Macaca mulatta: one gene and its partner. Each later gene encodes a partner of the first gene's protein in a complex. Links are inferred from orthologs where the notes say so. Each region holds a gene or a part of one and is shown on either strand. Other genes may lie near its edges. The genes, in order: MCM7 and DONSON.

Evidence for each region.
Region 2: MCM7 (region 1) and DONSON share a complex: the UniProt entries of both Homo sapiens proteins name them as parts of the replisome complex. The link is inferred for Macaca mulatta from reciprocal best matches to the Homo sapiens genes MCM7 and DONSON.

The regions. Positions count from the first base shown.
Region 1 is NC_133408.1:47,406,884-47,411,413, reverse strand, and holds the start of MCM7 (DNA replication licensing factor MCM7), read left to right. Parts: upstream 1-1,592; 5' UTR 1,593-1,602; coding exon of another isoform or gene 1,603-1,712; 5' UTR 1,713-1,819; coding exon of another isoform or gene 1,820-1,877; 5' UTR 1,878-2,297; coding exon 2,298-2,328; exon of another isoform or gene 2,329-3,380; intron 3,381-3,519; coding exon 3,520-3,599; intron 3,600-3,860; coding exon 3,861-4,025; intron 4,026-4,214; coding exon 4,215-4,339; intron 4,340-4,414; coding exon 4,415-4,530. Other genes in the region: AP4M1 (AP-4 complex subunit mu-1), read right to left, coding at 1-23, 116-226, 660-756, 839-945, 1,603-1,712, 1,820-1,877. UniProt on the Homo sapiens protein: Acts as a component of the MCM2-7 complex (MCM complex) which is the replicative helicase essential for 'once per cell cycle' DNA replication initiation and elongation in eukaryotic cells.
Region 2 is NC_133408.1:13,806,742-13,810,552, forward strand, and holds part of DONSON (protein downstream neighbor of Son), read left to right. Parts: intron 1-320; coding exon 321-533; intron 534-1,419; coding exon 1,420-1,557; 3' UTR 1,558-1,565; exon of another isoform or gene 1,566-2,265; intron 2,266-2,334; exon of another isoform or gene 2,335-3,244; coding exon of another isoform or gene 3,245-3,456; intron 3,457-3,811. Other genes in the region: protein SON, read right to left, coding at 3,245-3,403. UniProt on the Homo sapiens protein: Replisome component that maintains genome stability by protecting stalled or damaged replication forks.

The DNA of each region.
Region 1 (4,530 bases):
CTCTGTTGTGTCTCAGCCCCAAACTGTAAAGCATCCAAAGCAATCAATCATCAGGTCTGACAACCCCAGCCAACCCCTCTTCTCCTTCCTCACCCTCCTCTTTCCCTCTGCTGACCAAGCCAACGCTGCTGAGGTCAAAGAGGCTGAAGGGCTTGCTGACCACAGCTTCCGTCTGGATGAAATTCCTCAGCATCTCTGTGGATGTGGTCTGTACATAGCCATAGTCCTAGTGGTAAAGGAAGGACAGTCCGAGTGGTCAGTGGAGGGAAGGGGTAAAAAGGGGGAGTGGGGCCAGGCATGGTGGCACACTCTTGTACTCCCAGGTCTTTGGAAGGCCGAGACATAGGAGAATGGTTTGAGACCACGAGTTCAAGACCAGCCTGGGCAACAGAGCGAGACTCCCGTCTCTACAAAAAATAAACAATGAGCTGGACACAGGGGAGGAGGCTGAGGCAGGAGAATAGCTTGAGCCCAGGAGTTCCAGGCTGCAGTGAGCTATAATTGCACCACTGCACTCCAGCCTGGGCAACAGAGCAAGACCGTCTCTAAAAGGAAAAAAAAAATAGACTTGGCCTAACCACAGCATCCCACAGTAGAAGAGCAGATGTATCTCCAGGGGAATTAGGTGGGGGCCACAGAAGGGGATCATTGATTCTCACCAGCACTTCATCCAGGAGTTCGTAGACCAGAGCCACATTGCGGGAGATGGTCCCCTCGCCCAGGGAGCCACAGTAATCGCCCAGAAGAGTGGCCAACCTGAGGAAACACTTGGAGCGTGTATTTCCTCCTCCTCTGAGAACCCTGCCAGCTAGCAGGTGCCCAGCCCAACCCTCCTCACCTGGAGAGCAGTTCTAGGAGGCTGAAGGGAGAAACGTTTTCTGAAGTTGTGACCACCAAATACAGGCTGCTGTGTCTGATGTGAATGAAATGACGGCCATCATGATGCTGAAACACAGGCAGGGAGAAGAGGGGTTAGGAAAAGGGAGGTGGAGTAATCAGAACCCAGGAGACCTGAGCTGGGATCCCGATGCCTCTTACTAGTTTGGGAGATACATGACAGATCCCTGAGCCCAGCTTCCCATGTGGAAACGGGGTTAATTATAGTAACTACCCCAAGTTGCTGATAATGGAGTCACGCAGGGAGCTGGGCCTGGTGTGTTGCTGGCGCCCAATGGACGTTTTTTTTTTTCCCCCACCCCCATTACCCCGAGACGGAGTCTCGCTCTGTCACCCAGGCTGGGTGCGGTGTCCGGATCTCGGCTCACTGCAACCTCTGCCTCCTCGGTTCAAGCGATTCTCCTGCCTCAGCTTCCCGAGTAGATGGGATTACAGGCGCCCGCACCACGCCCAGCTAATTTTTTTTTCGTATTTTTAGTAGATGCGGAGTTTCAGCATGTTGGTCAGAATGGTTTCGAACTCCTGACCTCAGGTGATCCGCCCTCCTCGGCCTCCCAAAGTGCTGGGATTACAGGCGTGAGCCACCGCGCCGGGCCTCTTGTTAGTTTTACTTGGAGAAATACAACCCCCAAGTGGAAGCTACCATGGAACCAGTCCTGGGAGGGAGACGGCGCCCACCCGGCCCGCCCGGGCCCAGCTCCTCACCCGCCTCCCGCCAGTGGTTACCATGACAACCGGGGACTCGTCTCCTGGCAGTCCCGTCAGCTTCCGGTAGAAGAGCTCGGCCACATCCCGGCCGCCACTGTCCCCGCGGACTGGCGGGTGGAAGGACTCAGTGAAGGATCCTGCGACACGGGCTGGCCCTGGGCGCCCCTCCCGCCCGGTCCCTCCGCCCCTTCCCAGCCCCGAGGGTCTAGGATACAGTCTTTGTAGATGAGCGGGTCCCCCTTGGAGGACAGAATGAAGAACTGGGAAATCATGGCCGTCCTGGAGAGCAGACAAGAAGACGGCGAAAGTTGGGCCTGCCCCGCCCTGAGGCCCCGGAACAAAAGAACGCGCGTGCGCTGGCCCTTTAAGAGCGATTCTCCTCCGCCCGCGCCAGCTTGGACCGCGGGAAACCCGGCGCCCGCCCCACCCCGCCCGGAGATTCCCTTCCGACTCCCGCACCGCCTCCCCGTCACTCATTCGAGGCCCGCCCGGCGATTGGCTTGCGGCTAGCGGGAGGGAGAAAGGGCCGGCTTTTCCGATTGGCCCGCACGCAGTGGCGCTGGTCACGTGGGGGGCGACGTTTCGCGCCAATTTCGGTTGGCCGGCCACAGTCCACCGCCCGGACGTTCTCAGCTTCCCCAGAAGCAAGACCTCTGAGCCCGCCAAGAGCTGCCGCACGGGCCTCGGCAGCGATGGCACTGAAGGACTACGCGCTAGAGAAAGGTACGGGTCTACAAGCCTGGGAGGGCGTCCTGCGCGGGGAGCCTCCCGGGGAACACCTGTTGATGTGAGCTGGGGTTTTCGAGGACCGGGGTCAGCGGGTTCTGGGGCGCGCGACGCCAGAGGCAGGGTCGGGTTGCGGCCTGGCTAAGGCCCACGGGACCTGGAAGGCGCGCGAGGGGCATCGACGTTGAAGAAAAGGTAGTAATCCCACTTGGGAAAGGTGTTATAGAGTCGTGGGGTTGGGGGGCTTGGGGGGCGCTACCCGGCTGGGGGCTGCACAGGGAAGAGTCGCGCCGAGGACCTCAGGAGACTCTTTAAGGGCTCTGGACCCCGGACCCGCTTCCCTCCGCGCTTTTGGATATTCCCAGGTTCCCGCCGCCTCCCCGAGGCGCGCGGAGGCCCCGGGGGCGGGCAAGCCGGGGCCGCTGCGTGCCGGGATTGGCCGTTTGAGGCCGCCCTCCGAGCGGAAGTGGAGCCGGGCGGAAGTGGCGCGACGCGGGTGGAGGGAGTGTCGTGTAAACAGTGTCCTTCCGCGTGGCGGCCTCGGAGAGAGCTGCGACCCGGGGGGGCGTGCCTGGGATCCGGGAGCTTCGCTCGGGCCCGGGAAAGGCGGCAGTGGGCTGGGATCGCAGTGGCCCTGGGCGTGCTGGCCAATGGCTGAACTGGCTCCCGCCTCGGGCGGAGGAATCCCGGGCTGTGAAGCGGCTGGAATCCGGGCCCATGTGCTTCTTTGTTTACTAAGAGCGGAAGCGCTGGCGGGAGCGGTGGTGGGGTGCGGGACCTGCCTGGTGGCGGAGGTCTCGGTGAGATAAGGGGCTCGGGGGACCCAAAGAAGGCAGGGGATCATGGGGGTGGAAAGAAAGCTGAGAACCTTGAGGCCGGAGTGTGGGAGGCCAATGGGGAACGGCGCTAGGATTTTAAACTAAAGTAGGGACAGGAATTCCCCTGGGGAATAGATGTTGGATCGCCCTGTGCACTGCCCCGGGCTCTTTATTCTTCGCTGGTTAAAACAGACTGTGCAAAAGAGTTATGCCCACTTTGGGGAGAATTCGGTAGTTTATTTAAATGTTCATATTATTAGTTCATAGGCTGTGTTTTAAGCGAAAATAGGTATCTTAGATTTCTATCAGAGGGATGGGCAGTGATGTGTCTTAAAGTTTATGTTTTATGATTTTACATTTCACGTTACAGAAAAGGTTAAGAAGTTCTTACAAGAGTTCTACCAGGATGATGAACTTGGGAAGAAGCAGTTCAAGTATGGGAACCAGTTGGTAAGTATAAGATTGGGTAAAGGGAATGGGGAAGTGGGGTGCATAAGGAGCCATAAGAAGTAGCTTGGCTGGTTTTATTAAAGAGGTAATAATTAGAGGGTTTGGGGGCTGAGAAGCAAGTATCTCTCTAAGTGGTGCTGTGTTCTCCCCTGTGGATACCCAGAGCCTGTGCTGAGTTCTCAGTAATGTATCTTCACATATGAACACTGGTGCACAAGGTGAATGTGGCTTTGAGGTGTTTCTGTCTCTTCCTCACCTGAGGTTCGGCTGGCTCATCGGGAACAAGTGGCTCTGTATGTGGACCTGGACGACGTAGCCGAGGATGACCCCGAGTTGGTGGACTCAATTTGTGAGAATGCCAGGCGCTACGCAAAGCTCTTTGCCGATTCCGTACAAGAGCTGCTGCCTCAGTACAAGGAGAGGGAAGTGAGTGGCTAGAGAACAATGGCAAACAAAGGGAAAGGCATTTAAGCTTCTGTAGAGAGGCTGCTCAGATACTGATGTTTTCTGAGCAGGCAGAAAGAAGGGGCACTTCAGTCTCGTGTTCTCTGCGCTCTCCTTTCCCCATCCTGTTGCTCGTTTATTTATTTATTTGTTTATTTTGTTCTCCTTTAGGTGGTAAATAAAGATGTCCTGGACGTTTACATTGAGCATCGGCTGATGATGGAGCAGCGGAGTCGGGACCCTGGAACAGCCCGAAGCCCCCAGAACCAGTACCCTGCTGAACTCATGCGCAGATTGTGAGTGGTCTCTGTTGGGAAGTATGTAGGGATTGGTTCTCCAGGATCTTGTTTGTGACTGTTTTCTCCCCTTAGTGAGCTGTATTTTCAAGGCCCAAGTAGCAACAAGCCTCGTGTGATCCGGGAAGTGCGGGCTGACTCTGTGGGGAAATTGGTGACTGTGCGTGGAATTGTCACTCGTGTCTCTGAAG
Region 2 (3,811 bases), about 34 Mb from region 1:
AAAATTGAATGGACTTTAAATTTTTGTTTTTCCAATAGTCTGCATTGACAATGTGTTATTAAATCAGACAAAATACCATATGAAAAAGTGGTATTCTCTGGAATATACATCACCTGAAAATCTCATAATATGGAGAGGATGCTGAAAATTTACTAAGTATTTGTACTCACGTAACATTGTTTTGATGTCTTGGGAAATAGTTTTGTTCCATAATTGTTAAAGAGAGGAAACCCCAAATGGAAATATATTGAACATATTTTTGGCTAGACAAAAGGTTGAGAGATGATCATAATTTTCCTTTTCTTTAAATTTTCATAAAGGCACGAAGTGTAAATGTGAAGACACAAGCTCTTTCTGGATACAGAGACCAGTTTAGTTTGGAGATTACAGGTCCTATCATGCCTCATTCTCTGCATTCACTGACCATGCTGCTCAAATCTTCACAGAGTGGGTCTTTCTCTGCAGTACTATATCCACACGAGCCAACTGCTGTATTTAACATCTGCCTGCCAGTGGACAAAGTACTTGATATGGTAAGAAAGACACCTATGAGCAGACTGTTTTAGTTGTTTAGCTGGAGGGAAGTGAGTCATTTATGCTGAGTCACTTTTGTGTTTCAAGTAATTAAACTGTTATTTAATTACGAATTACTAGAGGAAAGAATAGCTTTCATGAATTCAGTCCAAGTACAATTTTCTTTTTTTTTTTTTTTTTGAGACGATATCTTGCTGTTGCCCAGGTGGAGTGCAGCTACGCGATCTCGGCTCGCTGCAACCTCAGCCTCCTGGGTTCAAACAATTCTGCCTCAGCCTCCCAAGTAGCTGGGATTACAGGCATGTGCCACCATATCCGGCTATATTTTGTATCTTTATTAGAGACGGGGTTTCACCATATTGGCCAGGCTGGTCTTCAACTCCTGACTTTAGGTGATTCACCTGCCTCGGCCTCCCAAAGTGTTGGGATTACAGGCTTGAGCCATGGCGCCCGGGCTCAGTCCAAATACAGTTTTAACAGTGACTGAAGAACTTCGCATTTCAAAAAGGTACAACTTTTATTTTCATTTCCTCTTGGATCCAAAACTCAGTAGTACCTGATTCCTTTATAGTTTAAGGAAACATGATTCACTGTGGGTATTTATTTAACCATATTTGCCTTTAATTTTGAATATACTTAAGGTTTTTAGAGCTAGAATAATTAAGACCTTTAAAATTATCTCATGCATCTCAGTTGGCTAGACTTATAAAAATAACCATTAATGTTTTGGGATTTTGTCACTACAAAAATTCTTAGGATCAACTTCTGTTGATAGGATGAATCACGTGAATGAGACATTTGTCAGTCTCCATAGTAATTATTTGAAACTCTTTTGTGTTTAAAGATTGATGTGCTTTTTACTGACTTGTATACACATTTCCACAGGAGGTTGTTCATAAGGAGCTTACTAACTGTGGTTTGCACCCTAACACTCTGGAGCAACTTAGTCAAATACCATTACTTGGGAAATCATCTTTACGGAATGTGGTGCTGAGAGACTACATTTATAATTGGAGATCCTGAACACCAAAGTAAGCCTAAAAGGAATCTTTGAGGAAAAAAGCCTTCTAGCAAGGAAATTCAAGATTCTTGAAGTTGAAGGAATATACTGACATGTTATAAACATAACTTTTATTACAGTAGCATCTAAGGTTTTAAATCAGTGTTTTCTGCTTTTACTATTTTCAGATTAGATTTTTAGATACAAAGATGAAAAACTCAGATAACTCAAATGAGCTATCTGTATCCCTACAACCTAATTGTATATTGAGTAGAAACTGAATTAATGTTTCCTTGCAAATGGGAAATCACATAGCAGTTACCTCATGGCATTGTGACTAATGGCATCAGGGCAAAAATATGTTACTTTACCATTTACCTAAGACTGTTAGCAGGTTCTTGTTTCATAAAGGTAGAAAATAAATATAGATAACATCTACTGAGCTAGCTGATTGGTGATGCTTCTACCTTAATATCTTTCCTACTGATTTATAATTCCTTTATTTTCACATATACTAAAACTCTAATGCATGTTAATTCAGATAAAAAGGCATTTTGTATTCCACATAGAATAGTGTTAAGAATTGTGAAGTACACACTGAGCTGTCATGGCAAAGTAGTATTTAATGTGCTTATAGGGTGTGGGGGTGTGTGTGTGTGTGTGTGTGTGTGTTGTGTGTGTTGGGATTGTATAATTCACATTTTTAAAATAAAAGTGCTTAGAAATCAAAAGCATTGGGTAAAGAAATAATAGTATCTAAGTATTTGTTCACTTTATAATCCAGAAAATAAAACACCACGTTTATTCCAGAGAAGTTTGTATTTGGGCCTTAAGCTTTTGAAAATAAAGTTTAGAGACATAGCATATGAATACCACTGTAATACACATGAAATATTCTATCGGACCCTAAAAATTAACATAAACTTTAACTTTCTCATAGTCAACAAAATAGTGGCTGGTTGCCAATTTTATTAGATAAGTTGGTTACAGCATTTTAATTATCATTTTACGTCTATCTAGGTGTAGCTGAAATTCAAAATGCACATCAAAGTAAAACTATATCACAACTCAATGCCATACTAAATGTACTTGGCCTCTGCAATAGTAGAATTCTAGTCAGACTTCATTTTTTACTCCCTTCTTATGACCCAAGTGGCTTTAACAGGAATGCAGGACTTAGTGCTGATCATCACACAACATACCACTTTCTTTTTAGAACCTCTACAAAATTTTGAGGGGAGATTGTGGCAATAGCCCTGTGGAACAGATCTTGATCACCTCAATAACACTGGCCCAGTATCTGTCCAGCAGAACCCATTGTGAAATAGTACAAGGTGCACAGCCCTTCACTGATTACAGGCAAGTGTTACAGTAGCCTAGCCATAAGGAAGGGGAGTTACATCATAGTACAAAATACAGTATAAAAGCGTTATTTAACATTCCACACTGAAGATTACTCTGATGCCTTCAAACAATCGTTTGGATGTTAGCCACTTAAACAAATACATCACTAAGGTAAACAATATAAACATACCAAAACCCTGTATGGTTAAATACAATTTCCATGGTACAAAAATCAAAGCCTGGAGATGTTTTTACAGATTGCTTTTTACACAATGTCTTAAATTGCCAAATATTTACAACATTAAAGAGGAAATACATTGTGATGCAGAGTAAAATTATCTGAAATGATTATTATAAAACCTCAATCTATCTACGTGAGGCACTCCTGAAGCAAGTGGCATTAGCCATGAGGTCCTTTGGTACAAGGCCCATTGCTTGAAGAACCACAGTAGCTGCTGTGGCTTTAGCATGCTTCTTATTAGGGCTGGCAAAGCTGGGCTGGTAAGCGCTTCCATTTATCAATACCTATTCAAGAAAAACATACAATTGGGCTGGTAAGGGCTTCCATTTCTCAATACCTATTCAAGAAAAACATACAATAAGAACAGCATCAAACTTTAATATCTATTAGCTTTGTATTTTTCACTAAATGCTAGAAAAATAATTTACAAAAATATAAAACCCATACTATGTAAGTCAAATTATAATCTCAACCCAGAAGCAGCAAATCATTTGGGAAAAGGGACTGCAAATTAAAAGCAGGTCTCCAAATTGAGAAAAAGACTGATAAAAGTATTAAATTAATTCCCCACATTCAACTAGAAAATAACAAATTGTATACTATATTTTGCCCAATTTTTTCCAATTTTTTAAAAAATAGGACATTGACAAGTCATATGAAAGCACCCTTCAGTTTAAAAACCCCACCACTTA